Canis lupus familiaris: one gene and its partner. The protein of the gene in region 1 purifies or fractionates together with the protein of each later gene. This does not show direct contact. Links are inferred from orthologs where the notes say so. Each region holds a gene or a part of one and is shown on either strand. Other genes may lie near its edges.

Evidence for each region.
Region 2: the proteins of BICD2 (region 1) and DYNC1I1 purify together in Homo sapiens (affinity purification with western blotting; 4 studies listed by BioGRID and IntAct, with this or other methods). This does not show direct contact. The link is inferred for Canis lupus familiaris from reciprocal best matches to the Homo sapiens genes BICD2 and DYNC1I1.

What each region holds. Positions count from the first base shown.
Region 1 is NC_049222.1:99,445,793-99,449,350, reverse strand, and holds part of BICD2 (protein bicaudal D homolog 2), read right to left. Parts: intron 429-3,558; coding exon 276-428; intron 1-275. UniProt on the Homo sapiens protein: Acts as an adapter protein linking the dynein motor complex to various cargos and converts dynein from a non-processive to a highly processive motor in the presence of dynactin.
Region 2 is NC_049235.1:20,925,988-20,930,135, reverse strand, and holds the start of DYNC1I1 (cytoplasmic dynein 1 intermediate chain 1), read right to left. Parts: upstream 2,839-4,148; 5' UTR 2,744-2,838; intron 1-2,743. UniProt on the Homo sapiens protein: Acts as one of several non-catalytic accessory components of the cytoplasmic dynein 1 complex that are thought to be involved in linking dynein to cargos and to adapter proteins that regulate dynein function.

The sequences.
Region 1 (3,558 bases):
AGGGGCTGGCAGACCACGGACAGTGGGAGGGACGGGTCCAGGGCTCCAGGGGTCATGGGTGCATCCTGCTACTGCTGCGGACAGATGGAGCTGGACAGCCTGCCCCTGGGCTCCGGTGTCCCCTCTGCTTCACCTCTGGTATTTGTTTCCTCAGGGGCTGACTGGGGACCCCATGGCCACCCCCCACCCCGCATCCACGCCACGCGGCCCTAAGCTGGGCTGTGGGGAAGGCAGGGGCGTGCCATGGAGCACGGAGGCCGTAGCCAGATACTTGCCTGGTTCTGCCTAAGCACAGACACCTGCTTCTGCAGGCTGATGTTCTCCTCCTCCAGCTCCGAGTAGTCCTGCAGCAGGCGAGCCTCGCGGAACTTGTACTCCTTAATGTCATCCCGCAGGCGGCCACGCTGGGTCTCCACATTCTGGTTGATCTGTGTGGGCAGTGGCCACGAAAGTGACTTAGGGCCCTGGGGAGCCGGGAAGTGTGCCCCAGGTGTGCCCTCGGACTCAGCACCGTGCCCCACTGCTTGTATCCGAGAAACGAAAATGCAGGTCCACACGGTACCAAGTATGCAAACTCCCCAGAAGCCCGCCTGACAAACAGGGAAACAACACGTGGTCGGTCCACACAATGGGGTGTCATGTAGCCATAAGAAGAAGGTGATGCCACAGCTGTGACGTGCAGGAACCTGGGACCCCCACCACAAGAGAAGGAGACCAGATGCATGGTTATGGTTGTGTGACTCCAGGTGTTCAGAACAGACCGACCTGCAGGCAGAGGAGGAGGAGAAGGGGCGGGCACCGGGGGCAGTGACGGAGCATCCAGAGTGCACCTGGGATGGTACCTGACGTGTGCACAGGTTAAGTGAGTAGTCAGGGATGTGGATTATCTCAGGGAAGGGGCTTGAGGATTCAGGGTCAACACTGACGTGAGGCAAGTGTGGCAACCAGGACTCAGGGATTCCTAGCCTGCTGCCACAAGCGCCCTGACCAGGGCCTGGCTGGGTCCCCTGGCCTCCATCCTGGGACATTCTGGGCTGTCCTGTTGTGTCGCAGGGCAGTGAGTGGCTCCCCGAGCCCTGTCCACTGGGCCAGCTCCCTTCTGTGCCGAAACAAATGGCCATGCTGACAGCCCACCCTGACCTCCTGGACCCTCTGCACCCCAGAACCGAGCGCCAGGCTGTACATGGGAAGCTGCACACTGGCTTTGCCCTTGACCGAAATGTAACCTGCATGCTGCAGAGCATCTGCCAATGGCGCGCTGTGGCTTCAGCAGGCCCAGAGTGAGTTACCTCACTTCCCGTGCACATGCAGTACGTGCTGGCCCATCCCCCTTGCCTTCGCCCACACTCGTGGGACAAGGCCTGACGTGGCCCCTGGAGGGGTGGGAGCCAAGGCCTAAAACCCACCCAGGCCACAGGTTTGCACATCACGACCCACAGGCCGTGGTGAGACCCATGAGCAGCTCCCCCTGTGGCCTGGGCAGATCCAGCCTTCCCCATGCAGTGTGACATGCCCATGAGGTCTATGGGGTCCCCAGAAGTCACCCCACCCTCCTCCAGGGACAGCACAGCCTCCAAGCATAAGCCCTGGGGCTGACAGAGGGCACGTGAGTCCTGTGGGCAGTGAAGGGAGTCCCCAGCTCACAAGCTGGCCCCAAACACCACGTGGCAGGGCAGGCGAGGGAGCACCATCCACTGACGTGAGACCCAGATGCCTGCATTTTGGGCCCAAATTGGACACGGCAACTCTGCCAAGCACACGCCCAACTCTGAGCACTCAAACCAGTTCCAACTGGCCACTGGGTGGTTTGGTTCCCCCAAAGAAGCATCTTCTTCCAGGTGGCCTGTCAACTGCAGCCCTGAGGACAGGCACAGGCAGAAAGCAGGGGACGTCCTGTCCTGACAGGCCAGAGAAGGTGGGCGCGGGAGGACCAGAACTCGGGGGCCTGGCAGGCTCCCTCTCCGTGCCCTCGAAGCCTCCAACCCGGCACCTAGCACACTCATGCCTCAGCCCCCAGGCGCCCTGAGTGGGAGTAGACCCTCCCCTTCCATGAGGAAACCATGCAGAGGCGAACGCACGGACACATGGAACTGTGCAAAGACAAACACACACCCACGCACTCTGGGCAAAATGCTGTCCTCACACGGGCCAAGCCAGGCCTCTACTCACCAGCCCTGTCCACCCCAAGAAGGACTGAGGCCCCCAAGTGGGTGTATGGGGGGTGAGCAGTGAGGTCATGCCAAGGAGACTCCCTGCCTGGAAGGTTCCAAAGCAGTGCTGATGCCCTAGGCCATGGGTCCTGCCACCTGGAGCATGGCCACTGGACTCTGGGTATGGGGAAAGAGTAGCAGGACAGGGAATACAGGGCCCAGCCCTCACGAGGGGCCTGTGACAACTGCACAAGCCAGCCAAAGGACATGGAGGGGTCTTGGGGCTTGGGGGGGGGTGTCTCCCCTCCCACCCCAGCAGGTTCTAGGCAGGTTAGCAGCAACAGCCCAGGCGGGACCTGCTGTCTCCAGGCAGACACCGCAGCTGGTCTGGTCAAGCAATGTGGCATCTGCAGGGACATGGATGCTGCCACAGCTGCTGTGGCCAGAAGGAGGGCCGGCCCTTGGCGGGGACAGGAGGGGGCAGCCAGGGACCTTCTCCTGGTCCAGAGACCCCCAAGCACCTGGCAGGTGTGTCCCGTGTGCAGCTGCAGAGACCAAGGCTGGCCTGAGTTCACCTGAGCCAGCCGTCCAGGCAGGGGGTCCACCTGTAGACACGCGGCCTAGACCCCCAACCCCCTGGGGGCTGTGCACCTCCTGGTGGGGTCGGTTCCCAGGAGACCCACCCTCTTCCTCCTCTGTGTGGGACTCCACCCCTGCTGCCTCACCTACACACCACAACCCCCACCTGGAGCCTGGCAAGGCTGCTCCTGACCCCTACCCGCCCTTCCAGCCAGCTCCAGGCACCACCAGGCAGCAACCAAGCCTCCCTGGCTCCTGCCCTGGGTTCCAGGGCACAGAATTCCACTGGGATGTCTGTCATTTACTCCAGGGCTCAAGGCACGTGCAGTCCACCTGGGGCAGCAAGGACAGGGCCCCTGGGCAGAAAGGTCACCTGGGAGGGCCCCACTGGGCAGGTGAGGTGGACTGCCTCCAGCCCAGCCTCTCAAGGGCAGCCCCCCCTTGCCAAACAAGGACCCCCTTCCCCTCCCCCAGCGAATCCCTGGAAGGCCTCAGTCTGTGCACCAGACCTGACTGCCTCCAACCAACTGCTCCCCAGCCACCCCAGATTCTGCTTCTCCATCTCCAAAATGGGTCTCAAGGCCTTGTCCCAGGACAGATGCTAGCTGGGCCCATCCACACAAGTGAAGAGGTCAGAGGTCAGGACCTAGGGCTACCAGCCCAACCCTAGGCATGCGGACAAACCACCTGCTCCTTAGTTCCCCCCACCCCCACAGGGTCACCGAAAGGACAAGTTCTGGAGCAGCTGGAACCATCCCATGTGCTGAGCACACCTCACACAAATTGCACTACAGAGGCCACGAGGTCCTCCCGGAAAGCCGGCATTAAG
Region 2 (4,148 bases), on another chromosome or scaffold:
AAAAATAAAATATTAAATGAGATAAGACAAGATTAATATTCGGTATATGGAAATTAGTCAATATAATTGTTCTTAGTGTGGAAGAGTAGATTCAGATGGCCCAGGGTTCAAATCCTGACTATAATTTAGTAGCTGAGCAATTTTCAAAAAGTTACTTAATACTCTTGTGTCCCAGCAGCCCTGGTAGCTCGGCGGTTTAGCACTGCTTCAGCCCAGGGCCCGATCCTGGACCCCCAGGATCGAGTCCCATGTCAGGCTCCTTGCATGGAGCCTGCTTCTCCCTCTGCCTGTGTCTCTGCCTCTCTCTCTCTCTCTCTCTGTCTCTCATGAATAAATAAAATCTTTAAAAAATACCTTTCTGTCTTAGTTTCCTCATCTCTCAAGTGGGATTAAAAATAATATATAACTCATAAGATTTTTTGTGAGGATTAAGTAAGTTAATACATGGAGAAGTAATTTAAAATCCAATGTCAAGTGCTCAACACACTTTAGGAAATGTATTGGTAATGTAATAAATTCAGTAAATGTACTGGACACGGGTAAATTGTTCAACGTATTATCAACCTGTGTTTTACATGGTAGAGCAAAGCACAGACAGAACAAAATGATGAAGGAATATACCTACTCATGTGAGGCTAAATGACAGAAAGAAACAGGGTGATGGGGAAGAATGATAGCCCTTTTGGGTAACTAACTTTGAATGAAGCCTCTGCACAGTCTGTGTTGAGAGACATAGTTTGAAGACTTGCTGTGTATTTTACAAGACCGGACAGAAGAGCACCCTGGATGGATCCCTATGAATTACTTGACTCAGTGCTGGAGTCAAGCAAAAGGCTTATTTTTATTAAACATAGACTTGAGAATAAGTGTTTGGGGAAGTAGAAAGGCTGGGGAGAAAGTTAATAGAGCCCCCTCTTAGACATAAAGCATGATGACAAAAATGCTGTGTGACTTCCTCTTATCATCTCATAAGTTTGTCAGAAACTAGGAACCAGAAACTACAATACCACTGTAAGAACTGCCCCCACTTTCCTGTGGGTTGAGTTTATTTTCTCTGCCCATATCCAAAACAGTGGTTATACCTAATAATGTTAGACCTCAAACACCAAAGAGCTTGAGGACACATTTCAGTAGAATAACTTTCAGGCGCTGTGCAGCAGAGACTGCAGCATCGAGTCCCGAGGAAAGAGGAAGCAGGTGCATGGGTGCCTGAGGCCCAAGACAAGGAAGAAAAAAAAGAGAGACACAGAAGATGTTCTGGACCAAAAGATGCTCTTTTCCAAACTGGAAAGAGCCTGCACTGGACACCCAAACATATTGTCCTAACTTCCTAAAGATGGTGCTACAAGATTTTTCAGAAAAAAAAAAAAAAAAATGGCTCTTGGAGCACTGAATCCTCAGAACCTAGAAATGTTGGCACGTTTGGTTCCTATGAAGAGAACGTTTGATGACTGCATGGTAGGAGTGTCTGAGTATATTTTATTGATAAACATGGTCAAAAGAGCACAGTTCGGGCCCTTGTTTCTCACACCAAAACTTTTGGAGAAAACTTGACATTTTAAATAATCAGAGGAAGTGTTAATCACACTCCCACTAGCACCCTCAGGATGCAGCTAGCACTGAATTATCCATTTTGGATTTACTAACACTGATTGTCTTTCACTACAATTTTCACAGTGAAAATATGTACAGAGGCTTTCATCTGTGCTAAGATGAGCCATATGACGTCTCCTGCAGTTACTGGTGTCTTCCTGTCAGCTATGCTTCCTGTTAATCTGGAATATTTGGAAGCAATTTTTCCCAAGCCTGAACTGCTGTAAGTCTACAGAGTGCACACTCGGAAGGCGTTCCAGGCAGGAAAATGGCTGGCTCCTCGTTCTTGCCCCTTACCTAGATGTGCAGAGGCCAGAACACAGGACAGATTCCATCTTCTGCATTCTGTGGAGTCTCCCATTTCCTAAGTAATTTCCTGTCCTGATGCTGGGTTTCTGTTCGACCTTATTAGCGAGATACCAAGTCATGAGACTCCCGCACACTCAGTTCCCATCCGTGCTGCCAGGCTCTGTGCCCTCACGATGACGACGCACGGATTTCTGCGGCCCGAGCGGTTCCGGAGTGGGAGTGGGGGAAGGAGCCCACGCGGCTGGGAACCTGTTTACCACACCACATCCCCCAACCACACTTTTTCGCAGCAGCGGGAGAAACTGGCATCTTCTTGCGTGAGTGTTTCATTAATGCCCTGCTGGAAGTACATCCGCTCCCTCCACTTGGCGGGTAGCGACAGCATCTCAGAGCTTTGCAGAAGCTGAAAATGTCATCAAACGGCATCCTGTCCCTTTCGCTCCGCGGCTCCCCCTCCCCCGGGGGCCGTCAGCTGGTGGCCCAGGGGGTGCGCATCTCCCCGCCGCCAGCCTTCTGCTGCTGCCCCGGACCGCGCCGAGGCGCGGCGCAGCGGGACGCCCCTCCCGGCCCACGAGGTGGGCGACGAGGTGATGACACCACGACCCCTCCTCCTCTGCCCTGCGCCCCCGGGCTCCGCCGCGGAAGCTGCAGCCGGGGGCTGCCGCGGGGGGGACTCCGACCGCCTTAGGGCGCAGGGCGCAGGGCGCACGCCCGAGCCTGGGGAGGGGGCCGAGCACCCCTGCTGCGCGGCTGCGGCGCGGGCGCCCCGGGGGCGCGGAGGTCGAGGGGCGCGGAGGAGCGGCCCGCAGAGCGCGACCCCCCCCCCCCCCGCCCCGGTTACCTGGGCGCGCTGGGCGGCGGCGGAGCGCGGCGGCTGCAGCCGGGGTCTGCGGGGCCGAGGCTCGAGCGGCTCCGAGGGCGGCGGGCCGGGCGCGCGCAGGATGTGCTGTCTCACGCTGCGCCCGGCGCTCGGCTCGCGCTCCGCGGGGACCCGGCCCCGCCTCTCCCCGCCAGCCTGACACTGACAGCTCCCTGCGAGCCCCGGGCTGCGGGCTGGCCCCGCCCCCGGCCCACGCCCTCCACGCCCCGCGCGCCTCCCGCGGGGGGGGCCTCGGCTCGCGGCTCCACGGGGCTCGCCAGGAGGGGGTGGCGCCGGCCCGACGGCTGGGGGCTGCGGGGGACCGGGCGCGGGTGTCAGTCGGTCTGCCTCGGTGCGGGACTCGCCTAAGTTGCTGCAAACAGAAGAGCTGCAGTGTTTGGGGAGCTGCTGCTGACATTCCGACACCGACACCGACACCGAGCAACTTTCACTCCCAGACAACTACTTTAAGGTCAGTGTAAGTAAGTAGAGAAAGCTCAGATCTCTCTGCTACACACAAAGACATAGGTCTGATTTGTTCCTGTTCCTACCTCCCCCCCCCCCCGAGGAAAAAGATTCTATATCTATATCTATCTATAGATAAGAATCCCAGCTTTTAAAAATCTGGGTGACCGTTCTTGAACTCCCCCAAAGCTTACTGTAACAGCTAAGTTTAGAGACCCAGAAATGGAGCTTGGGATTCTAATCTACGCAGGATTGGCATCATTTTGTTCGTTTTTCATTGTGCTTTTAGAGTATCTGTGGGATCACCGTCCACATTAGCATGGAAGTTACTGGAGGGCAATTTACTATCTAATTCACTGCCATATCCCCAATACCTACAATAGTGTTTTTTTTTTTAAGATTTTATTCATTTATTCATGACAATGAGAGAGAGAGAGAGAGAGAGAGAGAGAGGAAGAAGCAGGCTCCATGCAGGGAGCCCAACGTGAGACTCCATCCCGGGTCTCCAGGATCACTCCCGGGGCCAAAGGCGGCCCTAAACCCCTGGGCTACCGGGGCAGCCCCTTACAATACTGTTTGATGCATAATAGATGTTCAGTGACTATTTACGAATTTATTTAATCGACTACTACAGTAATTTCAAAATAAAAATAGTAACTTCAGAATAAAAATAGATGTGATTGTAAATATAATGTCATACTTTTCTATAAAATGGTCACCCTTTTTCCAATTTTTCCAATTTTGCCTTCCTGGCAAACTATTGTGACCATATTATAGCTAAAAATGAGACAAGTGACATGTTTTTAGATGAAGGAATTCAAGATATTTCAGAGAAAAAAATTATGAAACAAATACTTGCCACTGCTATGTATTGGATATTTAATAGATGTCAAACTCTACATACATTTTTCATTAGCATTGT